Linked DNA regions of Anolis sagrei. Each later gene encodes a partner of the first gene's protein in a complex. Links are inferred from orthologs where the notes say so. Each region holds a gene or a part of one and is shown on either strand. Other genes may lie near its edges. The genes, in order: non-structural maintenance of chromosomes element 3 homolog and NSMCE2.

The links.
Region 2: non-structural maintenance of chromosomes element 3 homolog (region 1) and NSMCE2 share a complex: the UniProt entries of both Homo sapiens proteins name them as parts of the SMC5-SMC6 complex. The link is inferred for Anolis sagrei from reciprocal best matches to the Homo sapiens genes NSMCE3 and NSMCE2.

What each region holds. Positions count from the first base shown.
Region 1 is NC_090022.1:172,852,952-172,861,830, forward strand, and holds the start of non-structural maintenance of chromosomes element 3 homolog, read right to left. Parts: upstream 3,880-8,879; 5' UTR 3,815-3,879; exon of another isoform or gene 3,765-3,814; intron 1,210-3,764; 5' UTR 1,194-1,209; coding exon 1,149-1,193; intron 1-1,148. UniProt on the Homo sapiens protein: Component of the SMC5-SMC6 complex, a complex involved in repair of DNA double-strand breaks by homologous recombination. The complex may promote sister chromatid homologous recombination by recruiting the SMC1-SMC3 cohesin complex to double-strand breaks.
Region 2 is NC_090024.1:19,389,378-19,398,606, reverse strand, and holds the start of NSMCE2 (E3 SUMO-protein ligase NSE2), read left to right. Parts: upstream 1-4,973; 5' UTR 4,974-5,146; intron 5,147-6,558; 5' UTR 6,559-6,572; coding exon 6,573-6,705; intron 6,706-9,229. UniProt on the Homo sapiens protein: E3 SUMO-protein ligase component of the SMC5-SMC6 complex, a complex involved in DNA double-strand break repair by homologous recombination. Is not be required for the stability of the complex.

The DNA.
Region 1 (8,879 bases):
GGAAGTTACCAATGCTTCGTCCACCCCCCTTCCAACTCATCCTCCCCTTTTCCCTTCCCAATTCATTCCCTGGCTAAACCTCCCCCCTCTCCCTTAACCACTTTCCTTACCAATCCTGTTTACCCTTCCACTCCCTATTGTTTCCTACTTTCCTATTATCAGATTGTTTCCCCTCTTTTATTGTTAACTTCTAAAAAACTAATAAAAACAAATAAAAAAAGAAATACGAATAAGTTTATAATTGTTAAAATTGTTCTTCATTTTAATTATTGTATTATGAGGCAATCCTCATTCTCAGCCTAAATCCACTTTCCATGGCTTAGAAGGAATTTGAACCTTTCAATATCCTAGTTCAGTGGTTCCCAACCTTTGGTCCTCCTGGTGTTTTGTACTTCAACTCCTAGAATTCCCAGCCAGCTTACCAGCTGTTAGGAGGACTACAGTTTGGAAATTACTGTTCTGGCTCTACGCTCCAACCACTATACTTTACTGGCTCGCAAAACAAGTCTTTCCTATAACACTATGTAACAAAAATTGAAAGTATTATTTCCTGTTGAACTGTGCAGTACTTACTTTGAAATCAGCGCTTCTACTCCAGAAACTTCATTTTTGTGGCTGCCACAAACTATGTTGAATTGGTTGAGACTCTATGCGATATTCATTGAAAAACTCTAACAAAATGTGCTGCAGGATATCCCACAATGACAACGTTTTTGCAGTGTAATAAACTGTTCGATGTTTTTGTAATAGAACTAAACAGGAAATGACACTCATAACACAGAAATAAAAATTGTGTTACATATTGTAATGAGAGTCGAACCTGTTAAAAACCAAGCCCTATCCACTTAAATGCATGAGAAGGATGCATTAAGTGAAGTGTGTGAAGTTGAAAATACTACAGGTGTTTTGTACTATGATATCACACCTAAATACAGGAAAGATCTAGCTCCATCTTCTGTCCTGTTTTTCTCTCTCAGTGAAAACCTGTACATATTGTAAGTATTGCATTAATTTTATGGGGTCAGGATAAACTACACATGAATTAAACCACACTACAAAACAACGGACACACGTTGTGTTGTTTGTAGCCATCTAGTTTCTTTTAAGAGAGGAATGCGGGATATAAATAAATAAGACAATAGTAATACCTGAGAAGGGCCAGGTCCTTTACTACTACGCCTGCTCTGTGACATCTTTCTGATGAGTTATCTGTAAAGGACAGGAAGAAAATGTTAGGTCAGATTATTTATTTATTTAGCCATATTTATACCCCACTTTTCTCTACCCCAGCAGGGAGACTCAAGGCAGCTTACAATGGCACATACACAGTGCCTCAAAACAACAAATTCACCATAAAATAGTTTAAAATTACAACATGTTTAAAATGGTTAAAATATACTCAAAGTTAAAAACACGCCATCCAGAGTTCATTCCTTGGTGAAATTGCACATAATTCTATATTTGGAATACTGCATTGTCCTAATTTTCAAAGCCTGCTTCCAGAGCCAGGTTTTGACTCTCTTCTTGAAAGCTAGTAGGAAGGAGGCTGATCTGATATTGCTAGGGAGGGAGTTCTAAAACCAAGGGGCCACCACTGAGAAGGCCCTATCTCTCATCCCCCACCAGCCGTACTTGTGAGACAGGCAGGACCGAGAGCAGGGCTTCCCCAGATGATCTTAGTCTCCAAGCTGTTCGTAGGGGAAATATACATTCGGACAGATAACCTGCTGATGGGGAAATCGTGTATATTTCTGTCTCTCAGCCAATAATAATAATAATAATAATAATAAACTTTATCTATACCCTGCCACCATTTCCCCAACGGGGACTCGGAGAGCTTACATGGGGTCAAGCCCGAACAACAAACTACAATACAAAAATACAAACTGCAGTAAAATAAACAACATAACGTTAAAGTGTAAAACATCAAAACATATAAAACAATATACACTGAACATAAAAATCAAACAGAGAATGGGCCGCATATACATAAAATGATTTAAAAACTGCGGGTGAGATAAGGGGGCAGAACTAATTGGAAGGGAGAGCTCACAGAGATAGGAAAATAAACAAACCTTCGTACAAAGGGGGGGGGGGCGCTCCTGGGACAAGAACATTGAGGGAGCAATTTCATAAAATTATGTGGCTACTCTCCAAAAGAGCAACGGCAGAGCCAGGTCTTAAGACTGTAATTTTTAAAGGTTTCTAACACAGGGGCTTTCCTGATCTCTCCGGGCAATGAATTCCAGAGTAATATTGATTTTAAAGATCAATTCCTGAAACCAACATTAAAACCTGGAGCCTCTTTCCCCTCCCACAGACTGGGCTTCTCGAGTTGGTTTTAAGCCCCTCGCTTGCTAAATTTCAACCCAGGAGCAACCATGTTCAAATATGTAAGACCAGCTAGTTCTGGAAATTTAGAGTGTATCCACACTGTAGAATGAATGCAGTTTGGCACCACTTTGACTGCAATGACTCAGTGCTATGGGCTCATGGGAGTTGTAGTTTGGTGAGGCACCAGCACGCTTTCATAGAATCAAAGAGTTGGAAGAGACCTCATGGGCCATCCAGTCCAACCCCCTGCCAAGAAGCAAGAATATTGCATTTAAAGCACCCCTGACAGATGGCCATCCAGCCTCTGTTTAAAAGCTTCCAAAGAAGGAGCCTCCACCACACTCCAGGGCAGAGAGTTCCTCTGCTGAACAACTCTCACAGTCAGGAAGTTCTTCCTCATGTTCAGATGGAATCTCCTTTCTTGTAGTTTGAAGCCAGAAAACAAGCTTGCTCCCTCCTCCCCGTGACTTCCTCTCACATATTTATATTCATTTATTTATTTATTACAGTTACTTTTACCCCACCCTTCTCAACCCCCTAGGGGGGGACTCAGGGCAGCTTACAAAAAAGGCACTATTTGATGCCTACATAGAGTACATATACATATAAAACAACAATCAGCATTTATCACAATTAAACAGTTAACAATAACACAATCATTAAAAACTAATCACAAACTCAGCATGCATTGTCCAGATTCCCTTAATTCCATTGTGTATGTCAATTCCATTCTATTGCCACGTCCTTTTTCATCTGCCAGGTTGTCTGAATGCCTGATCCCAAATCCACGTTTTCAACTTTTTCCTGAAGGAAAGGAGGGATGTCGCTGGTCTAATTTCCCCTGGGAGTGAGTTCCACAGGTGAGGGGCCACCACCGAGAAGGCTATCATATACATGGCCATCATATCTCCTCTCATCCTTCTCTTCTTCAGGCTAAACATGCCCAGCTCCTTAAGCCACTCCTCATAGGGCTTGTTCTCCAGACCCTTGATCATTTTAGTCGCCCTCCTCTGGAGGGCGACTAAAATGATCAACACATTCCAGCTTGTCAATATCTCTCTTCAATTGTGGTGCCCAGAATTGGACACAGTATTCCAGGTGTGTCCAATTGACAGTGAAGACCTTGTAAAACTACAACTCCCAGGATTACAGATCATTGAGCCATGGCAGGCAAACGGCATTTATTCTATGGTTTAGAGCAGGCCTGCAGAACTTGTAGCTCTCCAACTCCCAACTCCCAGAAGCCCTTGCCTGGCTATTTAATGGTTTGAGGCCTGCTCTAGATGCACCCAAGGCTTCTAGTTTTACAGGGACATTAGCTGTTTTGCCACAAGGTGCTGGGGCCTCACCAGACTACAAATCCCAGGATACTATACCACTGAGACATAGCAGTATTGTCCTGACTGCATCCCAACCCTCCAACAACTTGCCTAAATGCCCAGAGAGCCACTTTCCCGCCTTCCTACTCGCTGATACTAACCACCAGGACTGCCGCCGGTTTGCGCATGCGCACGCTCTATCACCCGGACTTCCTAGTGCGCATGCTCCTTCGATGATAGAGGAAGTTCTGATTAGTTTTTTTTCCTCCTGAGAGGAAAAAAACAGTGCGCATGCGCGTTTTAACTGCAGACCCTGGCAAGGAAAATGGCGGGCGAAGGTGGGAATGATGTCTCTCCTCATAAATCACTCAGTTTGAGCCTGGCATAAGTTTCATATATAAGGGCATTCTCTGCCTATTCATACGCTGTGGGTGGGGGAGAAAAAAAAATGGCCACATTATACTGTTACAGCGCTATTCTATTAATTGCCATGTCAACCACCTGGGATTTGTAGTTTAGAGCGGGACCCTGGCAAAACTACAATTCTCAGAATTTCACAGCATGTTCCCCGTGGCAGTTATGGGGTTTTTATGAATGGAAAACGAAAAATAGGGATATATTTCTAGTTCCCTAAATGGATATAAACAATAGGAACATTTTATCTAAATACAGGGTGAGGCAGCATAACTTCTTTTTCGAAACTTAATAAAACCCATTGTATGAATCAGAATTAATAATGTAGGTGCATACCTAAAGTTTTGTTTCACGTAGTTTTGAAGATCAAATTAAGTAGGTGACGTCCCCCATTCTCCATTCTCCATACACTGAGTAAACTGATTTCTGGCGTTTGTCATGACTCTTGCCAGCGTTATGTTGACAATTTTTTCCTGGATGTTGGTCTTCAAGTCTTGTAGGGTCCATGGACGGTTCACATAAACAGGATTTCAAAACACCCACAGAAAAAAATCACAAGGGGCCAAATCTGGAGAGCGGGCCGGCCACTCCAAATCCGCTCGAAAAGTAGGCCTCAACGGCAAAAGCACGCTCCTCGCTGTTCCAACGCATGATGGCGACTGAACTGTGTCAGGACAAAACTTTATACTCCCGTCTCTTGAACGAGACCACTAGCGCTCTGCTACGTCTTTAACCGACTGAATGGCGCGCATTTTTTAAAAAGTTATGCAGCCTCACCCTGTATATAAAATTATGGAAGCAACCAACTGTACCAATGACAGATGGTTGGATTCCAAATGTTTTTGAAATGGCTGAAGTGGACAAATTAATTTTACAACAAACTAATTTGCACAAACGGCAAGAAGAATGGAAACCTTTGATGGGCTTTGTAAAAAATAGTAAGATGATCATAACAGGATTTGTGAACTACAAATAATATGAGTAATATATGACTTACTTAGGCGATCCCTCGTCCGAGGATGATGATCCTCCAAGTATAGTATCCTGAGGGTGGGTCCGTAGGTGACTATGGAGCCCAATTCTTGCTCTGCGTCTTCTCCTGCAGTGAGGGCATTGGTTTCCAGGTGGAAGGCAGTCCCGGTCGGGGTTGGCTTGCGGCACCTTCCTCTTGGTACATTTCTCTCTTTCACCCTCCATTCGTGCCTCTTCAAATTCTAGAGCACTGCTGATCACAGCTGACCTCCAACTGGAGCGGTCAAGGGCCAGGGCTTCCCAGTTCTCAGTGTTTATGCCAGAGTTTTTAAGGTTGGCTTTGAGCCTGTCTTTATATCTCTTTTCCTGCCCACCAACATTCTATTTCTGTTCCTGAGTTCGGAGTAGAGCAACTGCTTTGGGAGACGGTGATCGGGCATCCAGACAAAGTGACTGGTCCAGCGGAGTTGACAGCAGAGGACCATCGCTTCAATGCTGGTGGTCTTTGCTTCTTCCAGCACACTGACGTTTGTCCGCTTGTCTTCCCAAGAGATTTGCAGGATTTTTTAAATTTTTTAAAATTTTATTTTATTTAAGTAGACATACATTTGCAAGTGTTTGTTGCATACAGTGCAATACTTGTGCAGGATTTTTCGGAGGCAGTGCTGATGGAATCATTCCAGGAGTTGCATGTGATGTCTGTAGACTGTCAACATCTCGCAGGCGTATAGCAGGGTTGGGAGGACAATAGCTTTATAAACAATCACCTTGGTATCCCTATGGATGTCCCGGTCCTCAAACACTCTCTGCTTCATTCGTAAAAATGCTGCACTCGCAGAGCTCAGGCAGTGTTGAATTTCAGTGTAAATGTTGACTTTGGTGGAGAGGTGGCTGCCAAGGTAGCAGAAATGGTCAACATTTTCTAATGTTACTCCATTAAGCTGTATCTCTGGCATTGGAGAGGGATTGCCTGGTGACTGCTGAAACAGCACTTTGGTTTTTTCGATGTTCAATAACAGGCCGAGCTTCTCATATGCTTCTGCAAAGGTGTTTAGAGCAGCTTGTAGGTCTTCTGAATGTGCACAGAAGACATTGTCATCAGCATACTGGAGTTCTATAACAGATGTTGTTGTAACCTTGGTTTTGGCTTTCAGTCTTGCCATCTGTCCCATAGATGATTTCCACTCCGGTGGGAAGCTTCCCATCAACAAGATGAAGTATCATAGCGATGAAGATGGAAAATAAGGTTGAGGCAATAACACATCCCTGTCTGACACCTGCTTCCACCTTAAATGGGTCACTTTGGGAGCCATTGCTGTCCAAGACTGTTGCCATCGTGTCATCATGGAGGAGCCGCAGGATGTTCACAAATTTGTCAGGGCACCCGATTTTCTGGAGGATGGTCTAGAGAGCGCTGCGATTCACTGTGTCAAATGCCTTTGCGAGGTCAATGAATGCCATGTACAGAGGTTGATTTTGTTCCCTGCATTTTTCTTGGAGCTGTCGTGCAGTGCGGATCATGTCCACTGTTCCTCTGGAGGGGCGGAAGCCGTTCTGGGATTCTGGGAGGGTGTCTTCTGAGAGGGGTAGAAGGCGATTTGCAAGGATTTTTGCGAGGATTTTCCCAGCTGAGGTTAGAAGGGAGATACCTCGATAGTTTCTGCAGTTTCTTCTTTACAATATATGAATGGAGCCACTGATGGTGCAGCAGGTTAAGCCGCTGAGCTGCTGAACTTGCTGACCAGAAGGTCGGTGGTTCAAATCCAGTGAGCGGGGTGAGCTCTCGTCGTTAGGCCCAGCTTCTGCCAACTTAGCAGTTTGGAAACATGCAAATAAGAGTAGATCAATAGGTAGGAAGGTAATGGCACTCCATTCAGTCATGCTGGCCACGTGACCTTGGAGGTGTCTATGGACAATGCCAGCTCTTCAGCTTAGTAATGGAGATGAGCACCACCCCCAGAGTCGGACATGACTAGACTTAATGTCAGGGGAACCTGTACCTTTAATATATGAATATGTGTTGTTGAAGGCTTTCATGGCCAGAATCACTGGGTTGCTGTGAGTTTTCCAGGCTGTATGGCCATGTTCCAGAAGCATTCTCTCCTGACATTTCAGCCACATCAATGCTTCTGGAACATGGCCATACAGCCCAGAAAACTCACAGCAACCGAATATATGAATATATTCTGTATCCTAAAACTCAAAATATTATTAAACACCCTACCCCCACCCCTAATAAAAATGTTAATAGTTAGGGATTTATACTTTTCGAAGAGCAGCAAGCCAGATTGAGATGCAGCCGTGTCCTCTCTTTTGCATAAAAATCCCAGGCCTTCCCATCATCCCCAGACTTGTCTCTCTCTTCTATAAACTATATTTTATCCCACTTTTATTCCTATATATCTATTAAACGGGTTCTGTTTTACTTATGGGACAGAAAAACATTAACCTTTACCTGTCAGGAAGCAAATGATCCAACTATTGTTTCTCATTGAGAAATAACCCCAAAGTGTGGCTCAAAACAAAGGAGTCTGATCATTTCAATATTCTCGATGTGTGGTGGCCTGGAAAAAAGGAAATCTGCATAAGCTCATTATCTTCAGGATTAAACACCCAAAGACAAAAATCAGTAACTATCACATTTTTATCCACTCCTTGCTGTACAATTTTTATCCTTTTGTATAATGTATCTATTTCCCAAGTCTGAAATGTATAAACTGTACTTTTATTCTACCTTATTCTTAAAATGTAAATGGTTTAACTGCCTGGCTCACACACAGCTATTAACCGTCTCATAATACTAGGTATATTTAACTGTATTTTTATATAACAGCAGCCATTAAGATGAGCGATAGATTATCCCAGATAATCTATCCATAGAATTCATTGCCAGATAATGTTGTGATGGCCATCAACTTGGTTGGCTTAAAAAGTAGATCAGATAAGTATCTGTAGGGAGACTCCGGTGGTGCAGTGGTTTAAACCGTCGTGCTGATATTGAGCAAGAATTTAGGGGTCTTTGCCAGGAGGCAGAGACCAATCAGACTCGTCAAAGAGAGTCTGTCGCCCTGGCGAGACAGAAAAACCACCCAAGATTTTTCCCTGATTTTTCCCAATAAAAGGTCTCACCAAGTTGAAGAAAAGCCACTGAGTTGTCTTTACCAGTTGTCCCATCTGGTAGGACTGGTACGGATGTCAAACCGCAATCCTTTGCCAAAGTCGACATGCTTTGCAGGGCAAAAAGGAGTACATTTTATAGGAAATACAGAACTGTCAAATTCAAACTCCCTGCCCTCTTGCTGGCATCTCGCTGATTGGCTGGAGTCATCAGCTGGAGGGGAGGTGTGGCCGGCTTAGGTGTGCCTCGACCAATGGGAGAGCAAACGCCACTTCGGCTTCTGAGCCAATGTGGAGCGAGGAGGCAGTACAAGCGGGAAACAAAGAACCGAGAGGAAAATGAGTGGATTAAATGTAACTTAATGGTTTGTCTGATTGCTGGCAATAATCCGGAGATTCCTCAAGCTGGCCTGGTATTGTCTTGGGAGGGTGAAATATACAAAAAGCTCCGTGTTGAGTTTTTGGAGGCGAAAAGGTTATTCCCAGGGTGGAGAGGTCAGCGGAGCAAAATCGAGATAGCCATTAGTCTTAGAATTAGCCCAGGACAAGATTGGCACCGATTTCGGAGCGATCCGTTGACTCACGGATACAGGGACCCGAGAGGTTTCCGTATCCGCAGTTCAGAGGAACACAGTTTCGGCCTCCCCAGGATGTGAAAATCTCACCCCAGGTGGGCGGGCAGCCATCTGCAGCCTGGGAGAGGGAAAGTTCATGCAAGGAATG
Region 2 (9,229 bases), on another chromosome or scaffold:
AACATGGCAGTGTTCATTGGAAATAAACATGCTAGCGTTTACACAAGTGTTTGTGTCCTAACTTGAAAGCTCCATTTGCTACCAGTGCTATAGTTTGATGATCTCATATTAAACAGAAATCAAAACACACAGCCAGATCCCAGACTATACCTGAAAAATAAAGCAACCCCAAGAATAGAAAAGCTGTCTATTCTTGACTCAGTATACTTGGCTTTGGTTTCCTATACATGGCTGTGTCTACATTGTAGAATTAATGTAGTTTGACACCACTTTAATTGTTATGGCTCAACCTATGGAATCTAGGATTGGCCCTGCCCACGGTGATCATTTTTAGTGTCTTAATATTTCGATTTTATATTGTTGTGTTGTTTACTTACATTGGTTTTGTATTTTACGTTATTTTATTTTCTAATTTTCTGTTGTGTTTTTGTGTTATATTGTTTTTACTGTATTGATGGGCGTGGCCTCATGTAAGCCGCCCCAAGTCCCCTTGGGGAGATGGTGGCGGGGTATAAATGAAGTTTTTATTATTACTATTATTATTATTAGTAGTAGTATGGTAAGGCACCAGCACTCTTTGGCAGAGAAGGCTAAAAATAAACCTTGTAGAACAACAACTCCCACAATGTCACAACATTAAGCCACAACAATTAAAGTCGTGTGAAACTGCATTAATTCTATATTGTAGTGGGAATCATTATACTTTTCAGATATGGTTGGACTGCAATTCCCAGCAACTCTAGTTTGCATATTCAGTGGTGAGGAATGTTAAGAGTTGTAGTCCAACATCAACTACTAAGGAGGCTGTTCAGGTCCTGAACCGCTGCTTGGCCGCTGTGACAGTCTGGATGAGGGCAAACAAACTGAAATAGAATCCAGACAAGACAGAGGTACTCCTGGTCAGTTGCAAGGCCGAACAAGGCATAGGGTTACAGCCTGTTTTGGATGGGGTTAGGCTCCCCCTGAAGACACAGGTTCGCAGTCTGGGTGTGATCCTGGATTCATCGCTGAGCCTGGAACCTCATGTTTCGGCGGTGACCAGGGGAGCATTTGCACAGTTAAAGCTTGTGCACCAGCTGCGCCTGTACCTTGGAAAGTCTGACTTGGCCACGGTAGTCCACGCTCTGATTACATTCCAAATAGACTACTGCAACGCTCTCTATGTGGGGTTGCCTTTGAAGACGGTCCGGAAGCTTCAACTAGTCCAACAAACTGCAGCCAGGTTGCTAACAGGAGCAGCGCTCAGGGAACATACAACCCGCTTGTTGTGCCAGTTCCACTGGCTGCTGGTTTGCTACCTGGCCCAATTCAAAGTGCTGGCTTTGGCCTATAAAGCCATAAACGGTTCTGGCCCAACTTACCTGTCCAAACTTGTCTCCCCTTATGGACCATTGAGGACTCTAAGATCATCTGGGGAGGCCCTGCTCTCGGTCCCGCCTTCGTCTCAAGTACGTTTGGTGGGGACGAGAGACAGGGCCTTCTCAGTGGTGGCCCCTCGGCTATGGAACACCCTCCCTAGGGAGATTAGATCTGCTCCCTCCCTCTTAACGTTTCGGAGGCAAGTTAAAACATGGCTGTTTGAGAAAGTGTTTACCAATGCAGAGTAGCTAATATAGGAAATCGAACGATTTGACAATGGAACTGGACAATGCTTGATAATGAGACGCTAATGATGTTGTTTTTATTGTTTTTGTGGTGTTTTATATTGTTTAATGTTTTAATCTGTATTATGTTTTTATATGTACTAATTTGTTGGAAACTGCCTTGAGTCACCGAATGGCTGAGAAAGGCGGTTTACAAATACAGTAAATAAATAAACAAATAGAAGGTTGTATAATTTCCAATTTGTTTTAAGCACATGTGCCTTGAAGATTTATCATTATTATTACCAACTACTTCCCAATGAGAGTCTGACCAATATTGCTCAATATTTCTTCTCTTCCTGTCACTAAGGCAAGCCACTTCCCATCCGCACCCATACTGGAGTTGCATTAATTCACCATCTTTCTGCATACTAAACCTCTTTTACCATGCTTCAACATAAGAGAAAGTGTGTTATTATGCAGTTATACAAGTTTCATTCCATGTTAACTCTCATGGTTCTACACTAAGGTCTTCTGGGATCTGTAGTATGTTAGGTGCCTGAGAAGAGAGGCACTGAGGAATCAATCAGTTGAATTCTGCAACCTGAAATGGCTTAAAGGCTGCAGCTACATAGTATGGAATTGTGAAATCTGTAGTTATAGCCCTATCAGAAAAGTTAACTTATACATTAAGATTAGCAAAAAGATAAATAAAAGATCTATTTGATAACAAGTGGACACCATTCACCTGCTTCATATCCAAAAGTAATGGCAAATTCAGAACATCAAACAACCAAGAAAGACGTGGATGAACAATTAGTAAATATATTAGAATAACCAATATATGCAATGGGTGAAATTAGAATAGAACGGACAAGAGCTGCATTTTTATAATGTTGTCTAAATGATGTTGGGAAGTAAGGAACCTGTATAGGTCTGGGAACAGATGATGTAACAAGGTAAGTGTGCAATAATAATAACAATAATAAATAATATATTGTAATAATAATAATAATAACCTATCTCCCCGAGGGGACTCAAAGCAGATTCCAGCATGTAAACAGACACAGAAAAACATTCAATACCTCTGAAACACAATGGAACACAAATACAAAGGCAAAGGCTTTCCCTTTCATCTCCGGCTCTGGAGGCAGTGCTCATCTCTGGCTCTGCGGGGAGGTACTCATTTCCATTTCCAAGCTGAGGAGCCTGCGTTGTCCATACATACCTCCTGGTCACGTAGCCATGACTTCATGAAGCGCCAATTTACCTTCCTGCCAAGGCGGTACCTATTGATCTACTCACATTTGCATGTTTTCGAACTGCTAGGTTGGCAGGAGCTAGGGCTGACAGCAGGAGCTGAACTGCTAACCTTCAGGTCAGCAAGCTCAACAGCTCAATGGTTTAACCTGTTGCGCCACCATGGTGTGTGTGTGTATCTATATATAATGCATTATGTATGTGTGTGTGTGTATATATATATATATATATATATATATATATATAATAAAGTGTATAATAATAATATTAATAATAATATGCATTAATTATACAACCTCCCTGCTGGGGGCCCCAGTGGCACAATGGGTTAAATTGCTGAAGTGCTGAACTTGCTGACCGAGAGGTCAGCAGTTCAAATCTGGGGAGTGGGGTGTGCTACCGCTGTTAGCCCCGGCTTCTGCCAACTTAGCAGTTCGAAAACATGCAAATGTGAGTAGATCAATAAGTACTGCTCCAGTGGGAAGGTAACAGCGCTCCATGCAGTCATGCCGGCCACATGACCTTGGAGGTGTCTATGGACAACGCTGGCTCTTTGGCTTACAAATGGAGATGAGCGCCAACCAGAGTTGGACACGACTGGATTTAATGTCAGGGGGAAACCTTTACCTTAACCTACCAGCTGGGGCATTTTAGGGTTCGTCTACATTGTAGAATTAATGCAGATTTAACTGCCTTGCCTTAATGCTATGGCATCAAGTGAATTGTCATTTTACAAGTCTTCTGTCCCAAAGTGTGTTGGTGCCTCACCAAACTACAACGCCCAGGATCCCATTGCACTGACCCACTGCACTTTATTTATTTGTCGTGTCAGGGCAACCAGTCAATTATATTACATTTCTAACAGAACAAAGCAAACAAACAGACAAAATACAAAATTTGTGAGTTTGGTAGTTGATTAAATGTCCTTTGACCAGTATCTGGCCACTTGGAGTGCTTCTGGTGTTGCTGCAAGAAGGTCCTCCATTGTGCATGTAGCGGGGCTCAGGTTGCATTGCAGCAGGTGGTCAGTGGTTTGCTCTTCTCCACACTCGCATGTTGTGGATTCCATTTTGTAGCCCCATTTCTTGAGGTTGGCTCTGCATCTTGTGGTGCCAGAGCACGGTCTGTTCAGCACCTTCCAAGTCGTCCAGTCCTCTGTGTGCCCAGGGGGGAGTCTCTCATTTGGTATCAGCCATTGGTTGAGGTTCTGGGTTTTAGCCTGCCACTTTTGGACTCTCACTTGCTGAGATGTTCCAGCGAGTGTCTCTGTAGATCTTAGAAAACTATTTCTAGATTTAAGTCGTTGACATGCTGGCTGATACCCAAACAGGGGATGAGCTGGAGATGTCTCTGCCTTGGTCCTTTCACTATTGGCTGCTACTTCCCGGCGGATATCAGGTGGTGCAATACCGGCTAAGCAGTGTAATTTCTCCAGTGGTGTAGGGCGCAGACACCCTGTGATAATGCGGCATGTCTCATTAAGAGCCACATCCACTGTTTTAGTGTGGTGAGATGTGTTCCACACTGGGCATGCATATTCAGCAGCCGAGTAGCACAGCGCAAGGGCAGATATCTTCACTGTATCTGGTTGTGATCCCCAGGTTGTGCCAGTCAGCTTTCGTATGATATTGTTTCTAGCACCCACTTTTTGATTGATGTTCAGGCAGTGCTTCTTGTAGGTAAGAGCACTGCATTAATTCTATAGTATAGCTGCACCCACCCACCCCTGGTGTCAATAACCAACCAGTTTAATGGGGAATTATTTCCCAACCAACCCTCCCCAGTCCTTTTTCATTGCCCTGCATAGACCTTGCAAGCTCTCTTTCTACCAGGAAGATAGTAAACAAATCCCTTCCTCTTTTTTCCCCCCTCCACCTCCAATTTTGTTTTGTTATATAATTATTTCTTTCTCCCAAAAATGCAAACAGCTGACCTGATCCTCTTCCAGCAGCAGAAAAAAAACAAGAGGTTGGAATTCAGCCTGGAATTTGCAGGAAACACCCAGAGAAAATGCAAGAAGAGAAAGCAAACCCACCATTCAGCAGCCTCTTCCTCTCGCCTTGCATCACATGGGAGCTTTCTCAGGTCATGTGAACCAGGCTCTGGGTGATGCTGATCCGCTTCCCTTTTGGACAGGCTCCTCCTCCTCCTTTTCAAGAGCAAATGGGTGTCTGGATCCGGATCCAGCAGTGGAAAGAGACCCAGAGAAAGGGAGCAAAGGGATCCCCTTCTTTTCTAAGCCCTGCGCCTCCCTGCAAAAATTAAAAAAAGGAAAGGCAGCCCAAGAGCCAAGGCTTTGCAAAGTAAGAAGTTGCTGCTGGGTGGATTGGATGGAAGCTTGGATGCATCTACATTGCAGAATTAACGCAGTTTGGCACCGCTTTAACCAGGAGTTCTTGCTCTTTGAACAGCTAAAGACCTTGCAAAACTCCCCCAACTCCTCCAAATGTATTTGGACACAGCATTCCTTCCAAAACTTGTTCTAGTTATGCCAGCAAATGTTTAGTTTGAGCAAAGAGAGAAATAGTTTTGACTTTCACAATTATAAGAGAAAAAGTGGGCTATAAATCAACATAATAATAATAATAATATGTATTATTATTTGAAACATAACAAGATGAGTCCACAGCGAACAAGATCACTTTCCTGGCTGTTGTATTGGATCACACACAGGAAATATTATTATTATTAGAAACACAACAAGATTGGTACACAGTGAACAAGATCAGTATGCTGGCTTTTGTATTCAATCAGTGCAGATTGTTTTTAAGTGCAGGCCAAAGTTTTTAGGCACTGCGCCCAGTGTGCCAATCACCACTGGGACCACCTTTTTCTAGCTTGTCACAGAGTCTTTGCAGTTCTGTTTATTAATGTTACATTTATTATTATTGTTATTATTATTATTAGAAACACCACAAGATGAGTCCACAGTAGACACTCTGCTGGCTGTTGTATTGGATCACACGTTGGACACTTCCCAAGTGTCTAGTCTTGGTGAATAATGCGTGCAGATCCCAGTAGGGTGGCCTTCTGCAGCTGGCCGATGGTAATTTTGTCAGTGCCGATTGTGTTTAATTATTATTATTATTAGAAACACCACAAGATGAGTCCACAGTAGACACTCATCTTCCCAAGTGTCTAGTCTTGGTGAATAATGCGTGCAGATCCCAGTAGGGTGGCCTTCTGCAGCTGGCCGATGGTAATTTTGTCAGTGCCGATTGTGTTTAATTATTATTATTATTAGAAACACCACAAGATGAGTCCACAGTAGACACTCTGCTGGCTGTTGTATTGGATCACACGTCGGACACTTCCCAAGTGTCTAGTCTTGGTGAATAATGCGTGCAGATCCCAGTAGGGTGGCCTTCTGCAGCTGGCCGATGGTAATTTTGTCAGTGCCGATTGTGTTTAAGTGCAGGCCAAGGTCTTTAGGCACTGCACCCAGTGTGCCAATCGCTGATCAGGACCACCTTGACTGGCTTGTGCCAGAGTCTGCAGTTCGATCTTTAAATCCTCATATTGTGTCAGCTTTATTTATATTTATTATTATTATTATGGAGCCCCCAGTGGAGCAATGGTTAAACTCCTGTGCCAACAGGACTGAAGACCGACAGGTCACAGGTTCTAATTGGGTTCCATGTTGGGAGGAAGGTGGGATGCCAATATAATAAATGAATACAAATATATAATAATAATACATATATTTTTCCCCCAGGAAATTAGACCAGAATGTCTAGCCAAAGTGTGGTCTCCTTTGCCGGCGTGGATACATGCCTTTCCTCTCTGAAACACTGCCAGTCCTATATAAGTACCGGAATGGAGATGGCTACCAAGGTTGCTTTTGACCTTGTGGAAAATCGCAGTGAGTTTCTCTCATTTTTTGAACAAATAGCTTTATTCTTGCTGCAATCACTTCTCAGGGTTTCCTATCTGTCCTGGAATGCTCAGGGAAAGAAATGAGCGCTATCCATCTTTAATGTGTCGTTGAAGGCTTTCATGGACGGTATCAATAGGTAGCTGTAAGTTTTCAGGGCTGTATGGCCATGTTCCAGAAGCATTATCCCTTGCGCCGTGCTACTCTGCTGCTGAGTATGCATGCCCAGTGTGGAACACATCTCACCATACTAAAACAGTGGATGTGGCTCTTAATGAGACATGCTGAATTTTCACGGGGTGTCTGCGCCCTACACCACTGGAGAAATTACACTGCTTAGCCGGTATTGCACCACCTGACATCCGCCGGGAAGTAGCAGCCAATAGTGAAAGGACCAAGGCAGAGACATCTCCAGCTCATCCCCTGTTTGGATATCAGCCAGCACGCCAATGACTTAAATCTAGACATAGTTTTCTAAGATCTACAGAGACACTCGCTGGAACACCTCAGCAAGCGAGAGTCCAAAAGTGGCAGGCTCAAACCCAGCCCTTCAACCAATGGCTGATACCAAATGAGAGACTCCCTCCTGGGCACACAGAAGACTGGGCGACTTGGAAGGCATTGAACAGACTGTGCTCTGGCACCACGAGATGCAGAGCCAACCTTCAGAAATGGGGCTACAAAGTAGAATCCTCGACATGCGAGTGTGGAGAAGAGCAAACCACTGACCACCTGCTGCAATGCACCCTCAGCCCTGCCACATGCACCATGGAGGACCTTCTTGCAGCAACACCAGAGGCACTCCAAGTGGCCAGATACTGGTCAAAGGACATTTAACCAGCTACCAAAGTCACAAGTTGTGTATTTTTCTGTTTGTTTGCTTTGTTATGTTAGAAATGTAATATAATGGACTGGCTGCTCTGACACGACAAATAAATAAATCTCCTGTCGTTTCGCCTGCATCTATGGCAGGCATCCTCAGAGGTTGTGAGGTCTTTAATCCATCTTTAATCTGGTGGGAACTCGAACTCCCCTTTCTGAGTGAGAGAGTTTGGCCAAAACAGAAAAAAATAATTTCCACAGCAGTGGTTCCCAACCTGTGGTCTGTGGACCACCAGTGGTCCACAAGGACTAAAATACGGTCCGCTGCCTCACCATTACTACACTGTTGCGACAGGTCTCGCAAAACTCTTTTATAGTGCCGAGTTTTGTGTGGGATGTTTAGCCCAATTCTACTGTTGGTGGGGTTCCGAATGCTCTTTGATTGTAAGTGAACTATAAATCTCTCTATCTAATCAATCTAATGCAGTGTTTCTCAACCTGGGGGTCAGGACCCCTGATGGGGGTCCCAAGGGGGTGTAGGAGGGGTCACCAAAGACCATCAGAAAACACAGTATTTTCTGTTGGTCATGGGGGTTTTGTGTGGGATGTTTGGCCCAATTCTACTGTTGGTGGGGTTCAGAATGCTCTTTGATTGTAAGTGAACTATAAATCCAAGCAACTACAACTCCCAAATGTCAGGGTCTATTTTCCTCAAACTCCAAAAGTGTTCACATTTGGGCATACTGAGTATTCGTGTCAAGTTTGGTCCAGATCTATCATTATTTGCGTCAACTAACACTCCAAAACTCAAGGCCAATGCCCACCAAACCCTTCCAGTATTTTTTGTTGGTCATGGGAGTTCTGTGTGCCAAGTATGGTTTAATTCCATCATTGGTGGAATTCAGAATGCTCTTTGATTGTAGGTGAACTATTTTATTTATTAATTAATTATTTATTTAGCAGTTTTGTATACCTGTCTTCTCACCTCCGTTCAAGGGACTCAGGCCGGTTTCCAACATCAGTATTACAGACAGTCATTAAAACATCATATTCTAAATCACACTAAAACATTAAAATACAATCATATAATTACAGTGGTCAGTTGTCATCAAAAATCATTATTCGTCATCATCCATCCATATCACAGGATCATGGCTCATTCGTCGAATGCCAATCCCCAAAGCCAAGTTTTCACCTGTTTCCTGAATGTTAAGATAGAAGGGGCAGTTCTGATCTCCAGTGGAAGGGAGTTCCAGAGTCGAGGGGCCACCACCGAGAAGGCCCTATAAATCCCAGTAACTACAACTCCCAAGTGACAAAATGAACCCCCCCCCCAACCCCACCAGTATTCAAATTTGGGGTTATCGGATATTTGTGCCAAATTTGGTCCAGTGAATGAAAATACATTATGCATATCAGATATTTACATTACGATTCATAACATTAGCAACATTACAGTTACAAAGTAGCAACGAGAATAATGTTATGGTTGGGGGTCACCACAATATGAGGAACTGTATTAAGTGATCGTGGCAATAGGAAGGTTGAGAAACACTGATACGGATGAAGGAAACCAAGAGATGGCAGCAGAGACTTCATGATGCAAATCCCATGCAGTTCATTGTTTCACCTGTTACAGCAATCTCTGGAATGTCTGCAACTCATTGTGATGAGGGCTTTGGTAGTTAAG